Linked DNA regions of Tribolium castaneum. The protein of the gene in region 1 interacts with the protein of each later gene in a biochemical or structural test. Links are inferred from orthologs where the notes say so. Each region holds a gene or a part of one and is shown on either strand. Other genes may lie near its edges. The genes, in order: Acf and Iswi.

Region 1 (7,074 bases):
GTGCGATTTTTTTCTAGATTTGTTTGCAGGATAAATACCCCGAGAGTCGACACTTGCGGTCGCCTTCGAAAAATGCGCTCTTGGACGGGGCTTTGAAGGAGATCGATGGCAAAATAGCCACCGTTCGGGACGAATAAATGAATAAAAATCGACTTGTCGAGCCCTTTCCAAGACAATAGAATATTCAAGTGGAAAATTAGACTCGTGTACATCTGTTGCCCTCACTCTAATTTTTACTTTTATCGCATTTGTATTTTACGTGATTTTTTCATATTTTGATTCCGATATTAATTTCCAGGACCATTTGTTTGATTTATGAGCGTATTTAGGTGGAGGCGAATCAAATTAACTTCTCCTTTATGGCGGATAATGCCGAGGGCTGTCTATTGTACCAGCACTTAATCCTATCCCTAATTCTTGTGCGCAATATAACTAGGGCCCCCGCTATTTATTCGATACTTGTGAATTATACATTGCAATAATGCTTTGTGCCATTGCGAGAGCTATTAGCACAAGTGGCCAGAAATAATCGCTCGAGGGCCGATTCCTTTTTTCAGTGTAGTGTTTAATTATCCCTGTTGTGAGCTTAAGCAGTGATAAAATCTTTCTTTCAATACTGAGTCAAAAAAAACGACAGAATTAATAATTGGGTATTATTATTCATTTGGACTGGGGTGGCTCTGGAAATTTAAACTTTTGTTGGCTGTAGTTGGCAGCTACATATTTTTTACTAAATGTCAGTAACTGTCATATTAAGTGCGTATTCGAGTTGGAGGGCTGTCGTTATGCAACGAGCGTAAGCGAGTGCACACCTACACACCCAAGAACTTTAAGCGTCTTAGTATGAGTGTTATTAAATTTTTTTGTCAGAAAATTTTAATTTAAAACACGTTGTATGGGAAGCGTGTTTTAAAATAGTGTTTATAATATAGGATTCAGGTATTAAAAAGGCTTGAAATGTTACCAACAAAAAAAAACAAATTTTCAAAAGTTTTAGGAAATTTATTAAAAAAAAAAAACGTGATAGGCAAATGTGACATATATTTTAGTTATCAGTAACCAAAATCGGTATAAACACATAAAGGACAATGAACTATATCTCAACTTGGGAGATTTTTTAAGGCCAGTTCACACCGTCATAGCCTTCTCTGTTAACTCCAAACAAATGCAAATAAAAGCCAAACTTTTTCAATAAAATTTTTATTTAACGAAGGTAATTAATGTGGACAATGTTCGTGGGCATGTGGTCTCTAATGATGAACCTTTTGTCGTCCGCTTGGACTATGCTTTTGACGAAACCGAACCAGTAAATCACTAGTCCGGGCCCAAACCGATTCCAATAGCTTAGGTATTGGTTTTTCGTGTACTCTATGTGGACGTCGTCATCGCCGAATAGGGCTTTGCTCTCGATCCAGTTGATGACAAAGCCATCAACTGCGACCGGAACGTCCAATTTAACATCGGGAGTTTTATCGTAGCCGAATTTCCTTAAATGTTCCTCGTCTCTGAACGCTAGATTCAGTTTCAGGACTTCGTTGTGTAATTTAATTTCGTATTCCTGGCCGAGAGAACTAGAATGTTTTTTACACTACTTTGTGTTAATTGAATGAACGAATTCTTACTGTTTCATGGTTTCTGATAGTGGACTGTACAAATTGTCATAGATTGTGCACTGGAAAACACTATTGTTTGTATCATATGAGCATGTAAATGAGTCATCCAAGTCGCCTCTGACCCGAATTTTGTTTCTAAGGTGACTTGGATGACGCATTTACTTGGTCATACGTTAGATTTCTTACCAGAAAGACTTCGTAGGCTAAATGTGGGTCTGGAATTAGAGAAGTATCTCTTAAATGAGCGTTAATTTGTGTCAATTCCATATCGCACTCTTTGAAATACTTGTGTAGGATTAGTTTGGCGATGAGACAAGGGCATATGTCGAATCGTTCGGCCATTCGGAGGATTATTCCAGGGCCGGCCCCCGTTTTAACGGCGTCTTGATACACATCCCAGTATTTGTTAATAACTGACTGGTTTTTAACGTGATTCATTCTCATACGTTTCTGGTATTCCAGCGATAAAATGCTGTAAAGTGTATCATGGTTTATGCTGGAAAACAAAATTTTTATAACTGATTTTAACACAAAACTGGGCCATACTGGGGGAAATTGTTAACTAGAATGGAGAGGCAGTTTTTAGAGAGCCCTTTGTAGTTCCGAATTACCGTCACAATGTTTCTGTACGCGCTCACATCCATGTTTCAGCTGAATTGTTTTTTGAGGTTATGTCACAACTGAAGATGGATGGCGCTTAAGCACGAAACGTGACGTAACTTTTTTTTCAATTTCATTATGATTAGGATGTTTGGGGTGATTAAAACAACATTAATTAATATAAAAACTTTAATAATCATAAATAGTACCTACAAAAACAGCTAAAAGGGTTACACAGTACAAATCAAAGGTAGATTTAAAGAAAAAATGTACAATGATAGAAATAAGAATACTATATAATACTATTTCGTGCGTATTTTCTTTTTCGGACGTGCATTCGGGTCATTATAATCCATCTCCTCGGGAAGTTTCAACCCCAACTCGCGACACTTTTTCTGAAAAAGCCTAAGCAACTGTACGCCACATCTGCAAAAAAATCATCAAACCATACACAATCACAAAAAATAAATTACTTGTAGACATCGTCCTCGGTGTGATTATACGTGTTACAATTTTGAAACACCAACAGTGCATCTGCCATAAACTGAGCATCTTCTTTATACTCCCCCATGTTTAATTTATACTTAATTGTGCCAAAATCCATCGGTTTCGTAATAACGTCGTAATAATCAGGTACCTCAATTTTTTGAACCGGCCGTAAAAACGGCCACGCGTTTGCATCTTTCATCACCTCGGACAGAACCGCATGCAGTGCCGAATTGTGCAACGGCAGATCCGTTCTGCCCTCATCTCGACGCGTCGCCCTTCTACTAATCACCTCCTCCTCGCTTGAGTCTAAACAAAAACGTTCAGAGTTTAAGTTAATGCGCGATTATTACATGATTGGACCAATTAAGTCACGTGAACCAGTTGCTAAGCAACTAAGTAAGCTACCAAGTTACTAGATTTAAATAACTGTTCCTTAGCAGCTGGTATAGCAACTGTCAATATGGGTTAAAACGATGGAAATGGTGAAATGTTAGCACGTGTGAAAGCTTTATAAGAACCCACCGTCAGAATCTGAGTGTTCTCGAAGACTCTTTGCAAAATCGTGGATCTTATACAAGGCTTTTGCAGCACAGCGACGCTGGCCATTGATTTTTCCAGTGCGCTGTACCACTGTACCATTACAGTAGCTCGTGTCTGTACAATAGTACTGATTTATAGCAGTTCATTAACGAATTACTTGTACTTACCGTAATTTCTTTTTCTATCGTTATTTTTCTTACATTTCGTACAGAACCAGGGGCCTCTGGGGGCCCTTCGCAAGGGCGGTTCCACACATTCGATGTGATAACTGTCCGTGCATTTATCACATTGGACCATTTCGCCCCCTGAACCACAAGTTTTACACAGATCGGGTTTAGGTGACCTGGAAATTTATTTATTGGTAAACAAAATAAAAAAAATGTCAATAGAGACGTTTCTTCATTTTCGTCCTGTTCTTCCTCTTCTTCGCCATCTTCAGTATCTTCCTCTTCATTATTACTTTCCAATTGTTCTATTTCCGATTCTTCCTCGTCGATTTCTTCGTCGCGGAAAATCGGACGTTTCTTCGGCGGTGATTCCACCACTTCAGGTTTCTTCTCTTGTTCGCATTTATCACAAAACCAATCGCCCGGCGGAATGCTCTACAAAAATCGTGCAAATGCAAATTTTGATCAACAACAGAACTCTTAAATGCTAACTACGGATATTGAAAGGTTAGGATAGGAAACGACCTAAAAATAAAACGTTCCCGCCTTCGATAGTTCCGTTAATGTCGCCAGAGAGCGCATTTGTTCCACTACCATCGAAGTTTTCAGAGCAATGAATTTGAAAAAAATGGTTATTTGTAAACCATTTGCAATCAAAAAAACTCTAAAAAAATTAGTTGGCAGTTTTTCTTAGTCTGTTAAGAATGCAAATATTTCTGCATTTTTTCCCAAGTAGTTCGTAAATTGGTTGTATTTAAATTAATTTTTACTCTGCCGTACATTTTTTTCTCCTAAGTTATAGTCCTTCGTAGTCGTGCCCTTACCTTCAGTTTCGGTTTAAGACAGTACAAGTGAACCCCTAGATTACAACCATCACACAGCAGCATATTCTCCGAGTCGTTCTTCCTCCGACAGATCCTACACTTGGCCAGAAGCACAGACTTGGCCCACAAAATGCACGAATCCAGCGTGCTATAATGTAGAAAAATCTGACTGAAACTGGTCGACGCCAACAACGACTGTTCCCACTTAACTATGGTGTTTTCGTCCATTTTACTATTATTACGACCTGTTGCCACACATCCTAGTGGTTTTTTGAGGAATTTCGGTTCAACGGCTTGCGCTACTTGCGCCAAAACCACTGCCAAACTCGGAATTGCTCCCTTAATGTCCTCGTTTTGCGTTAGCGGAATTTCATTATTGTCAATATCTGGTATTAAATAATGACTAGGATCAGTTTCCAGTTCTTTCAAATCGTTCTCATCCCGTTTTGCTAAATTCTTGTCCAGTTCTTTGTAATTCTTATTCTGGAGATCGCTCCTCCACTTTTCGCGGTCTTTGATATTTAGGGCCCCCAGACTCCCGGCGAAGATTTTCTCCTCCATTTCGAGAATGTTCTCGATGAGGGCGCTATGTAAGACGTCGGTGGGCGTCATATCTGGGGGGTACCCCAAGTTGGCGTCTTCATACTTAGGTTTAACTTTCCTCCGCTTGGGTTCTTCCCGACTTTCCATCTCGAAATTTAAGCTATTGACGGGCGTTTCGCGGATTAATTTCTCGATATCGTCCCGGTTATACGTCAAGTTTTGTTGCAACTCACTCTCGCGCACTCCTCGCTTGTTCAAACCGTCGATCAATTGATCGATTTGTTCGTTTTCGTGGTAGAAACCCCACAAATTTTTCCGACGCTCGTTCGAATGGACGACACAAGTGTCGGGGTTGGCGGAACACATCATTAAATCATCGCAGAGTTCGATTTTCTGGTCTAAAACACCGTTGCATTGTCCGTTTTTGCGATTTTTCGCCGGACTGTTCTCCTTATCGCTGGAATTTGATTCTTTGAGTGTTTTCTTCAAGTGGTCCAAAACCTCGTCACGTGTCGCATTGACCAAATGCGGCATTTGTTCGATAATATTGCTCAAACAGGTGCCTGGATTTTCCTCTTCCGAGTTGAGGAAAAATCCAGGGATGGACTCGAGGCGATAAAAGCGGCGAAACGCCCGGTCTTGTCCCAACAAGACTTGTTTCTCGTACACCGCCTTTTGTAACACCACCATTTTCCGCTGGTTTTCCATGCGTCTATGCTCGGCTTCCGCCTCCAACTTGCGTAATTCAGTTGCCGCTTTCTCGTCCGTTTTCGCCGATTTTTTCAGCTTGAACCTCGCAGTCAGAAACTCCTGTTCTCGCTTTTTCTCCGCGCTTAAAATAGTTTTATATTCGTGCTTCGCTTGTCGAATATTCTCCATGCGTTCCTCGACAACGTCCCTAACATCGGCATACGTCAACAGTTGATTCATCAAACACGACAAAATTTGCAACTTATCGACGATCGGTAACTCAACCACGTTGTGGGTCTTCAAAGCTTTGAGAATATGGGGGCTGTGGAGACGTAAATACAATCCGGGATCGTCTTCGCTTAAGTAACCCCCTCGTTGTTGGTAGCGCCATCTCGCGCCGCTCATTTTTATTATAGCACCGGATGATAACAGGTGTAATCTTAACACTTCCGATGTCGTAACCGAATAGAGGGGTAATTGGGCCAACGGAAGCCCTTGGTATTTTTTGCTCCAACCGGCGGCAATGGTCGCTAATCGAGTGGCCTCTTGCAGGTTCATATTATCGGAAATTTCCTCCTGTTTCAGGTTCAAAGTCTCGGTTTCGGTGCGATACTGAGAAGCCTCTTCCTCTTGCACGTGGAAAAGGGCGAGCAACAGCATTTGGAACAGGTCGATGAGGGGGCCAGCCACCTATAACAACGTTCCAAATAATGCAAAAAAAAAAACTGAAGTGGCACACTGGACGTCAAACCGAGATTCATTAATAACTTTTTATTTTTTTAATAAACAGTCATTCCATGATTACGGACGGGACATAATTGTGTCAAATTTTATTTTCAAACTGACTTATCAAGTTAAATATTTATGCCGCCAACTTTTCCAAAATCGTTATAGATCATTGATTACGGACGGGACAGTAAAAATTGTGTCAAAAATAAGTAAAAAACTGTAAATACTTTCAAAAGAACACAAATATGTTAGAGGGGCTAGATATATTTAAATGATTTTTTCATGAAAACAGATAATACAGCGAAAGTGTATGATAAAAAAAGAAAATAGTGAGATTACGGACGGGACACAAAAAATTATGTTGCAATTTTATTATAACAAAAATAATAATCGACTAACAATTATCAAAAAGAAAAAGTACGTTAACAATTAATGTTTTGGTAGTTTTGGAAAAATTATTTCAGTTACATAAAAGTTGTCTTTTATATTGTCAAAACATTCCGAAAGTTTTGGTGCATAAAAGTAACAGTTAATAATCTCAGAAATTAAAGATTTTAGGGTGTTATAATTTGGTCTTTGAGGGAATTTTTTTTATTGTTTTAAAAATAAATAGAAATTACGTATGTATGCAAAATTCCACCTTATTCGGTTAACAGCAACCCTCTCGAATTTGACTCGGAAAATATGAAACCAGAGAAATAGACAACAAGGCAAGAAATTAAATAAAAACTTAAAAAAACATTTAATAATAATTGATAACAAAAGGAATCCATTTTTAGCTTCAAAGTGCAAGTTTTTTAAAATTGTACGGGAGAAAATCGTCTTGCATAAACATTATTAATGATTCTTTTTCCCATTCATTCAGCCATTTGAAATGAC
Region 2 (7,231 bases), on another chromosome or scaffold:
AGGGAAAAACTGGAAATCTTGTACGATAGGTTGTTTAGGAGGACGTGGTGCTTTCGGCGCTTTGGGCTCAGAAACACGTAAAGCTTCCCTGAAGTAGGCATCGACGGCATAATTGGCCTTTCTTTCACGCTTCGGAGGCTCGATCCAGGTGTTCAAACCGATGTTTTTCTGCTTTTCGCGATAATCCTCGCCTTCGAACTTGTAAACGGACTCTGTTGGCGTGTCCACAGTGAAGTTGCGCAAGGATGACTCGCCGAGAGCTTCGAGTTTTTGGGCCAGTTCCGCTGTCTAATTTTTTTTTATTAGATTAATGTTATAGTCAGGGAGGAGCACAAATAACTAGAGGATTCGAAACGATATACTAATTTAAACCTCCTCGATAGTTCAATAAATTAAAAAAATGGTTGTATTTAAATAACTGTGAATACAACGCAAATAAAAAAAAGTAGATTAGATCTCGTTTCGTCTCCTACGTAGTTAGGAGGTGAACTTTGTTAGTACTGGGAAATTAAGTATTTTACCTTTGCTTCGCCTTTTTGTAAGATAGTGTCGATGTCTTCATCGGTGATTTCCGAGTCTTTCGATGCGAAGACATGATTGGCCCCGTGCCGGATCATGTTCAACATCTCGTCTTTGTTCAAAGACTGCGATTTGTTGTCGATTAGACGCCCTTGTTGTATCACTAACTTGTCTAGCCTCAGCTTGACTTCGGCCCGTTCTACGATTTTTTCCTCGACTGTATTTTCGGTGATAAGTCTGAACACACGAACTTGTTTCTTTTGGCCGATCCTGTGCGCTCTGTCCATGGCTTGGAGGTCCATTTGCGGGTTCCAATCCGAATCGTAGATGATGACAACGTCTGCTGTTGCTAAATTAATACCCAAACCTCCGGCTCTCGTCGACAACATAAAAATAAATTTTGAGCTATTTGGCTCATTATATTCGTTGATTTGGCGTTGCCGGTCCTCGTGCGGCGTCTGTCCGTCCAATCTACAATAATTGTACTGTCTCCAGTGGCAGTAATCCTCCAAAATGTCCAACATTCGTGTCATTTGTGAAAAAATCAAAACCCTCGAGTCCTGCTCTTTTAATTTGGGCAGAAGCTTGTCCAAAAGCACCATTTTCCCGCAATTGTAGACTAAATGTTCGTCGGTGGTGTACGGGGGCCCAGGCTCAGCCCCATCGAACAAATAAGGGTGGTTTGAACACTTACGCAATTGCATGAGAATGTTCTGTAGTCTCATTTTTTCTACTTTACCGGCCCCGTTTACCACATCAATATCCTTCATCAGGACTTTAGTATACCACTCGCGCTGCATTTTGCTCAAACCGACGTAAACTTTGAGTTCTTTTTTCGGTTTTAATTTTTTCTCGACCTCGGATTTGAGACGTCTCAATAGAAACGGCTTCAAGACAGCGTGCAAGCGTTCGACTAACTGGTTATCACCCAAACACTGGTTTGTGTTAAACCAAGCGTCGAAATCATCAGCAGAGTTAAAAACATCAGGGAGTAAAAAGTTAAGGAGGGCCCAAAGTTCGTGTAAATTATTTTGTAAGGGGGTACCGGTGAGTAAGAGACGATTTGTTGTTTTAAACTCACGGAGAATCTCCGATAATTTCGATTTCTCGTTTTTAATACGATGAGCTTCGTCTATTACCATGTAGCGCCAGTTGAATTTCTTAAAAACTGATTTTTCTTTGATAACCATTTCGTACGAAGTCACACAGACGTCCCAATCGCCTGGCATCATCACGTCCCGAATGAAAGCATTCTAAAAAAATAATTAACGAAACACAATTAGAATTAAAGGATCCATTCTATCAAAGCGGGGTTGTTATGATGACTAAGGTTGAAAAACATCTTAAATTCATAGAAAAATATAAAGATGCTTCAACTTTTTCCAACCATATTCTCTCTTCTAATCATTTTTGTACTGACAGTGATAAGGAAGAGGCCTTAACCTTAACCCCCTGTTACCAGCCCCCTTTTACGCCACTGATGAAGAATGTAATCGCGAAAGCGCTCTGTCCTATCACTCTTTTTGGATATTATAAATTTTTACGTAGGTTGGACTTTGTGTTTTCCAACCTTAGTCAAAACACAATTAAACTAAACCAGGTCTTACCCTGGCCTCTTGGTCCCCAATGAGACACACAGCGCGGATGCTGGGACACCACTTCTTGAATTCGTTCATCCAATTGGCTAGAGTCGACTTGGGGACAATCACAATGTGAGGAGACGGCGTGTTTTTATAATGTTTCATGAAACCTAGCAAGGAAATGGTCTGGAGCGTCTTCCCGAGCCCCATTTCGTCGGCCAAGATCCCATTGATCCCGTTTTCGTACAAAGACACCATCCAGTTCAGCCCCCGGATTTGGTAGTCCCTCATTTCCCCGTTCTTGATGAAAGGCGGCGAGGCTTCGAACCGAATCGTCGGTTTGGCCTTGGCATTGCTTTCGGCCAGCAGTTCTTCATCTTCTTCCTGCTCGGTCTTGCGGTGGCGGTGGTCCGCCACTGGGTCTTCCTTGATTTTCTTGGGACGGCCCGATTTCGGTTTCGAAGGCGTTTTGTTTTGGTTCATAAAGTGGGAGAAAATCTCGGTTTGTTTGAGCAGGTAATCGAAACGGCGGCTGCGGTCCGTTTCGAGTTTGGTCTCGAAGTCTTCGCCCTTCCCACGCGACGAGAGGGTGTCCGAAGACGAGGCATTCTTCAATTTCATAAATAAAGCAGAGTCAATGACCCGTTTTTACTTTTACTATTGTGGTTGTTTTAACAACAAGGCTCTTACCGAATTCTCACCAGTGTCAGCGGTTTCACCGCCTTCTTCCACTTTGGACATGGTGCTGGGTGCGCGAAATTCTTAGCTAAAACTACGGAATGTTGGTTTTTAACGACGATAATTTGGAAAAATGCCGTTCATTTAATGATTCGGAAGCGATACGTAGCGGGAAACACTACGAACTAGTCGCAGGACGGCCGCATCTGGGGGCAAATGCGTCAAACTGGTGAAACACCAACAATCCCTACACACTTTGAGCCCATTTTCGGGCGAAAATACAACAATAATTGCATGCTGCACCCCACAACAACGAGAGAATTTTATGATGTGGACAAATTTTTAAAAGACAATTTTTCATAAGGCGGTGAAAGCGTTTTAGACGGTGGCCTTGTAAATGTTGGTAGTCCCGACTGTCAGATTGTTTAAAACGCCGGATGTTTGGTTGTGTTATCTCAACATCAACAGTTTTGGAATAAAAACATAAAACCGTTCCTGATAATGGTAATTGACTATTTTCAATAAGTACTTAGGCGTTAGTATTGATTTTAGACGACGTCCCCTTCCTTTGTTTTAAAAAAGAATCTCTCCTCAGTTCGTAAGAAGATGGCAGGCTCCAAATTTGAGTTGACTGAAGAGCAGAAGAACGATATTAAAGAGGCGTTCGATTTGTTTGATAATGAAGGCTCTGGGAAGATCGACGCCAAAGACCTGAAGGTGGCAATTAGAGCGTTGGGATTTGAGCCAAAGAAGGAAGAAATCAAGAAAATGATTGCTGATATTGATACACAGGGAACTGGAAAACTGTCTTTTGATGATTTCTTGCAATTGATGACCATGAAAATGGCCGAAAAGGATTCGAAAGAGGAGATCATGAAGGCGTTTCGCTTGTTTGACGATGACGAGACCGGAAAAATCAGTTTTAAGAACCTGAAAAGAGTGGCTAAAGAACTAGGAGAGAATCTCACAGATGAAGAATTGCAAGAAATGATTGATGAAGCAGACAGGGATGGAGATGGTGAAATCAATCAGGAAGAATTCTTGCGAATTATGAAGAAAACCAGTTTGTACTAAGTTGGAAACATACCAGGTGATTTCGTAAAATGCTAAAATGACAGCCTTACAAGAATTAAATGCACAGTTTCCTGTCCTATTCGCAATTTAATTTGTTTAAAATGTATTTGGTTTTGCATTAAATTGTAAGGCTAGTCTAGTCGTCTTGCGTGAATCACCCTGTACCAATTAATTGTTTGGAAACGTCTAGTCACCGTTGCACAAATTGTCAGTATTGTAAGTAGTCTAATATTTGTAACTTCTTAACTCAGTCTTAATCATTTTCCAAATTTTCATGCATTATTTTTAAGAAAAACTCGTATATATTTCTACTAAACCATCAAAAACAACGTTGAATTTGACTGTGATTTTTAACCCTTTTTTTCTAACTCAGATTTTCCTAAAAACATCAATTTTAAAATCGACTCATTTTTCTAAAATAAATTGTTTTTAGAAAAACCTGTCTGAGAAAAAAAGGGTTAAAAATAAAATTCAAGTTGTTTTTGATGTTTTAGTAGAAATACGGGTTTTTGTTAAAAATAAAGCGTAGAAACATGACAAAGATGAGTGGGCAAATAATCTGAGTTAAAAGGTTACACATGTTAGACCACCATTGTAAAATGTGTGTTGCACGAGATGCTTTATTTAATTTTGAAAATACAACATATAAAAATATAAAATATATATTTTTAAATAACATTCCTTCAAATAAATCAATGGATGAATTAAATTTGTTCTTTGACTGACCCATCGGCCAACCCAAAATAGGCCTTCTTGGCCATGTTAACAAATAGTCCCGTCTCCACAACTCCCGGAATGAGATTCAATTTGGTGTTGATTGTGTCCCATTTATAATCCTGGAAGTTTTTCCAATCCAGGATAAAATTCCCATTATCGGTGACCACAGGTCCAGCTTTGGCTTTAGCCATTCTGAGCTCAACTGTCCCTCCCAGTTGGTTTTCAATTTGCGTTTTAATGGGGAGATAGGCCATCGGAACAACTTCAATCGGAATCCCCTTTTTGTATTGTTCCCCCAGCTTTTGTGAATTTTTGGTATAATCCGCTATAATAATTAACTCCTTGGCGCAGCTAGCAACAATCTTCTCCTGCAATAAGCATCCCCCACCTCCTTTAATCAATGTCAAGGTGGAATCAACTTCATCGGCACCATCAATGCAAACATCCAATCTTGGATGTATCTCTAGGTCGGTTAGGTGCAGCCTGTGCTGGATGATCAATTGCCTGGCTTGAAAGGACGTTGGGACACACTGTACATTTAATTTTTCGTTTTTCACACGTTCGGCTAACCTCTCAACGGCGTAAACAACGGTGGAGCCGCTGCCGACACCCACAATGGAATTGTTTTGCACGTGGAGGTCCACAGCTTTGTAGGCCGCCAGTTTTTTAGCACTTTCGAGGGATGCCATCGTGACGAATGATCTCCTTAAAAGTTGAAATAAATTCATGGATTTTAAGATAAATTATTCAACTTACGTTTCGCAACGTGCTCATGCGCCTCTGCAGCTTCCTTTTGTGGCTCTATTTTCAAAGTTGCGAGCTGGAAACCGGATAAATTGCACGCTTGTGGGAATAATACGTAACAATTTAATTACTTATTCAACGTAAACAACTATTACCAGTGTCGTTTTCCCCATGTAATTATTTATTACTCCGTTGGTCATCATTTTTTAACGAATGAGAGTGATTAGTGATTTCTGATTTCATTGAGAATGATTTAAATTTCATTAAATCTACTCGTATCATTAGTTAGGTAGGAGTACACGAGTTATTAATATAGCATCATTTTCAAAATGAAAAGAAAATAAAATATATAATTTTTTTTTCAAAAAGCCTTAACTTCTTCACTTTTAAATACCTTGCTACCTTAAGTTTTAGAGTTGTCTTCCTAGGGGTGTTTTCAAATAAAAAAAAATGGGGGGTACAATAGAGTTATCAATTTTTGAAGGGGATTAAAGCATTTGAAAAAGGTAAGTATAACACTTACGTATTCTGAGGCCAGCTTTTTTTGGTAATTTAAAAAAAAATTGTAAAATATTTGAAATAATATTAAAAAACGCAAAAAATACTACGTACTACATATTTTTCCGATTCATTTCGGCGATTTTTCGGTTTATTCTTTGGCAGACTGGTGTTTCTAGACAAAAAATGTGCCGACCAAAAAAACGCATAAGCGGCAAAGTAATTTCATTTTGGATTCAATTTACTAGTTTTTCAGCTTAGTTTAGCCAAATTTCGAGAAGAACGAACTGCCTTTTCATCTTAAAAACGTGTTTAAATTAAATTAAAAATGTAAACAGTGCTCTAATATTATGAAATATTGTAACTCGGCAAAAAATATTGGTTTCATAATTTTTACTGTGAGGTGAGATGCGGATAATACTTGACCTGGTATTTAATTTAATTTCAAATGCATCATCGTCAAAAAACTATTGTTTGCTAATGTTTTTTCACGTGTCCGGAAAATTTTCGAACGTGCCATAAAGGTGCACCTTAACTGGTTTAAATAACACCACTTATCACAATGATACTAGTATGGATATCACGCTCTTTTTGATGATTACAGGTATTTTAATTAAAACTTGATAGTTGCACTTACAGTTGGCTCACTTACTGATTTTTTTATTGATAATATACCTACTTGTAGTCGAACCAAATCAGTAAATAAATACAAAAGTATTTTATTAAAGTAGTTGAAAGTATTCTAACAACTCTTATTTCCTGAAAAAAACGGAAGTAGTGAGATGAATTAACAACATAAATTGAAAAATCTAATAGTTCATTATTTATTATATTACTTCACATTTTTTTTACTTTTTTATTTGATTGTGCATGTCTTTAATAAATATATCGGTTAAATATGATTTCAAGCGTGTAAACCTGGCGTTTTTTAATATTTGAAACTTTTTAACAAACATTGGTTCAAATAACTATTTACCAATCTGAAAATCTGAGACGCTTTTCTGCAATTCCGCCTTTTATCTCCAGCTCTTCTAATTGGATGGGGATATTAACATGAACACCGTATCAGCAAAGCTCTATATTTGGATGCAAACTGGTGAACAGTTATTTCTCTAGCTGATTATTGGGAGCAAGCAATTAGACTTCAGCTTTAAAAATTTTAGAACCGACACTTAAACTGAATGACGTGTAACACAATCGTGCTTTGCATCAAAATTTTTCGACCAGACTTGTGTAAAATATGCATGTTTGTTCGAACGTAGTGTTTCCTGCAGCTCGCCTTTTAATCTAAGAAAAATGCATCAGGAGATTTATCTTTATCTTGCGAAAGTAATTTTGCCAAGCTTCTGAAAGTTGTGTGCGGGTAAACTAATGGAAGGTGCGAGACCATTTTGAAATATTTAGTTGGTAGCGTCTAAACG

What was found.
Region 2: the proteins of Acf (region 1) and Iswi form a complex in vitro, tested with the Drosophila melanogaster proteins (3 studies listed by BioGRID). The link is inferred for Tribolium castaneum from reciprocal best matches to the Drosophila melanogaster genes Acf and Iswi.

The regions. Positions count from the first base shown.
Region 1 is NC_087396.1:20,812,977-20,820,050, forward strand, and holds the end of Acf (bromodomain adjacent to zinc finger domain protein 1A), read right to left. Parts: intron 6,157-7,074; coding exon 4,234-6,156; intron 3,845-4,233; coding exon 3,636-3,844; intron 3,586-3,635; coding exon 3,410-3,585; intron 3,357-3,409; coding exon 3,225-3,356; intron 3,009-3,224; coding exon 2,687-3,008; intron 2,640-2,686; coding exon 2,516-2,639; 3' UTR 2,389-2,515; downstream 1-2,388. Other genes in the region: uncharacterized protein LOC103314854, read left to right, coding at 30-137; CDAN1-interacting nuclease 1, read right to left, coding at 1,205-1,571, 1,623-1,672, 1,800-2,109, 2,160-2,257.
Region 2 is NC_087402.1:7,784,947-7,792,177, forward strand, and holds the start of Iswi (chromatin-remodeling complex ATPase chain Iswi), read right to left. Parts: upstream 3,005-7,231; 5' UTR 2,841-3,004; coding exon 2,790-2,840; intron 2,709-2,789; coding exon 2,127-2,708; intron 1,773-2,126; coding exon 522-1,772; intron 289-521; coding exon 1-288. Other genes in the region: uncharacterized protein LOC660873, read left to right, coding at 3,279-3,281, 3,330-3,851; Rpi (ribose-5-phosphate isomerase), read right to left, coding at 4,556-5,257.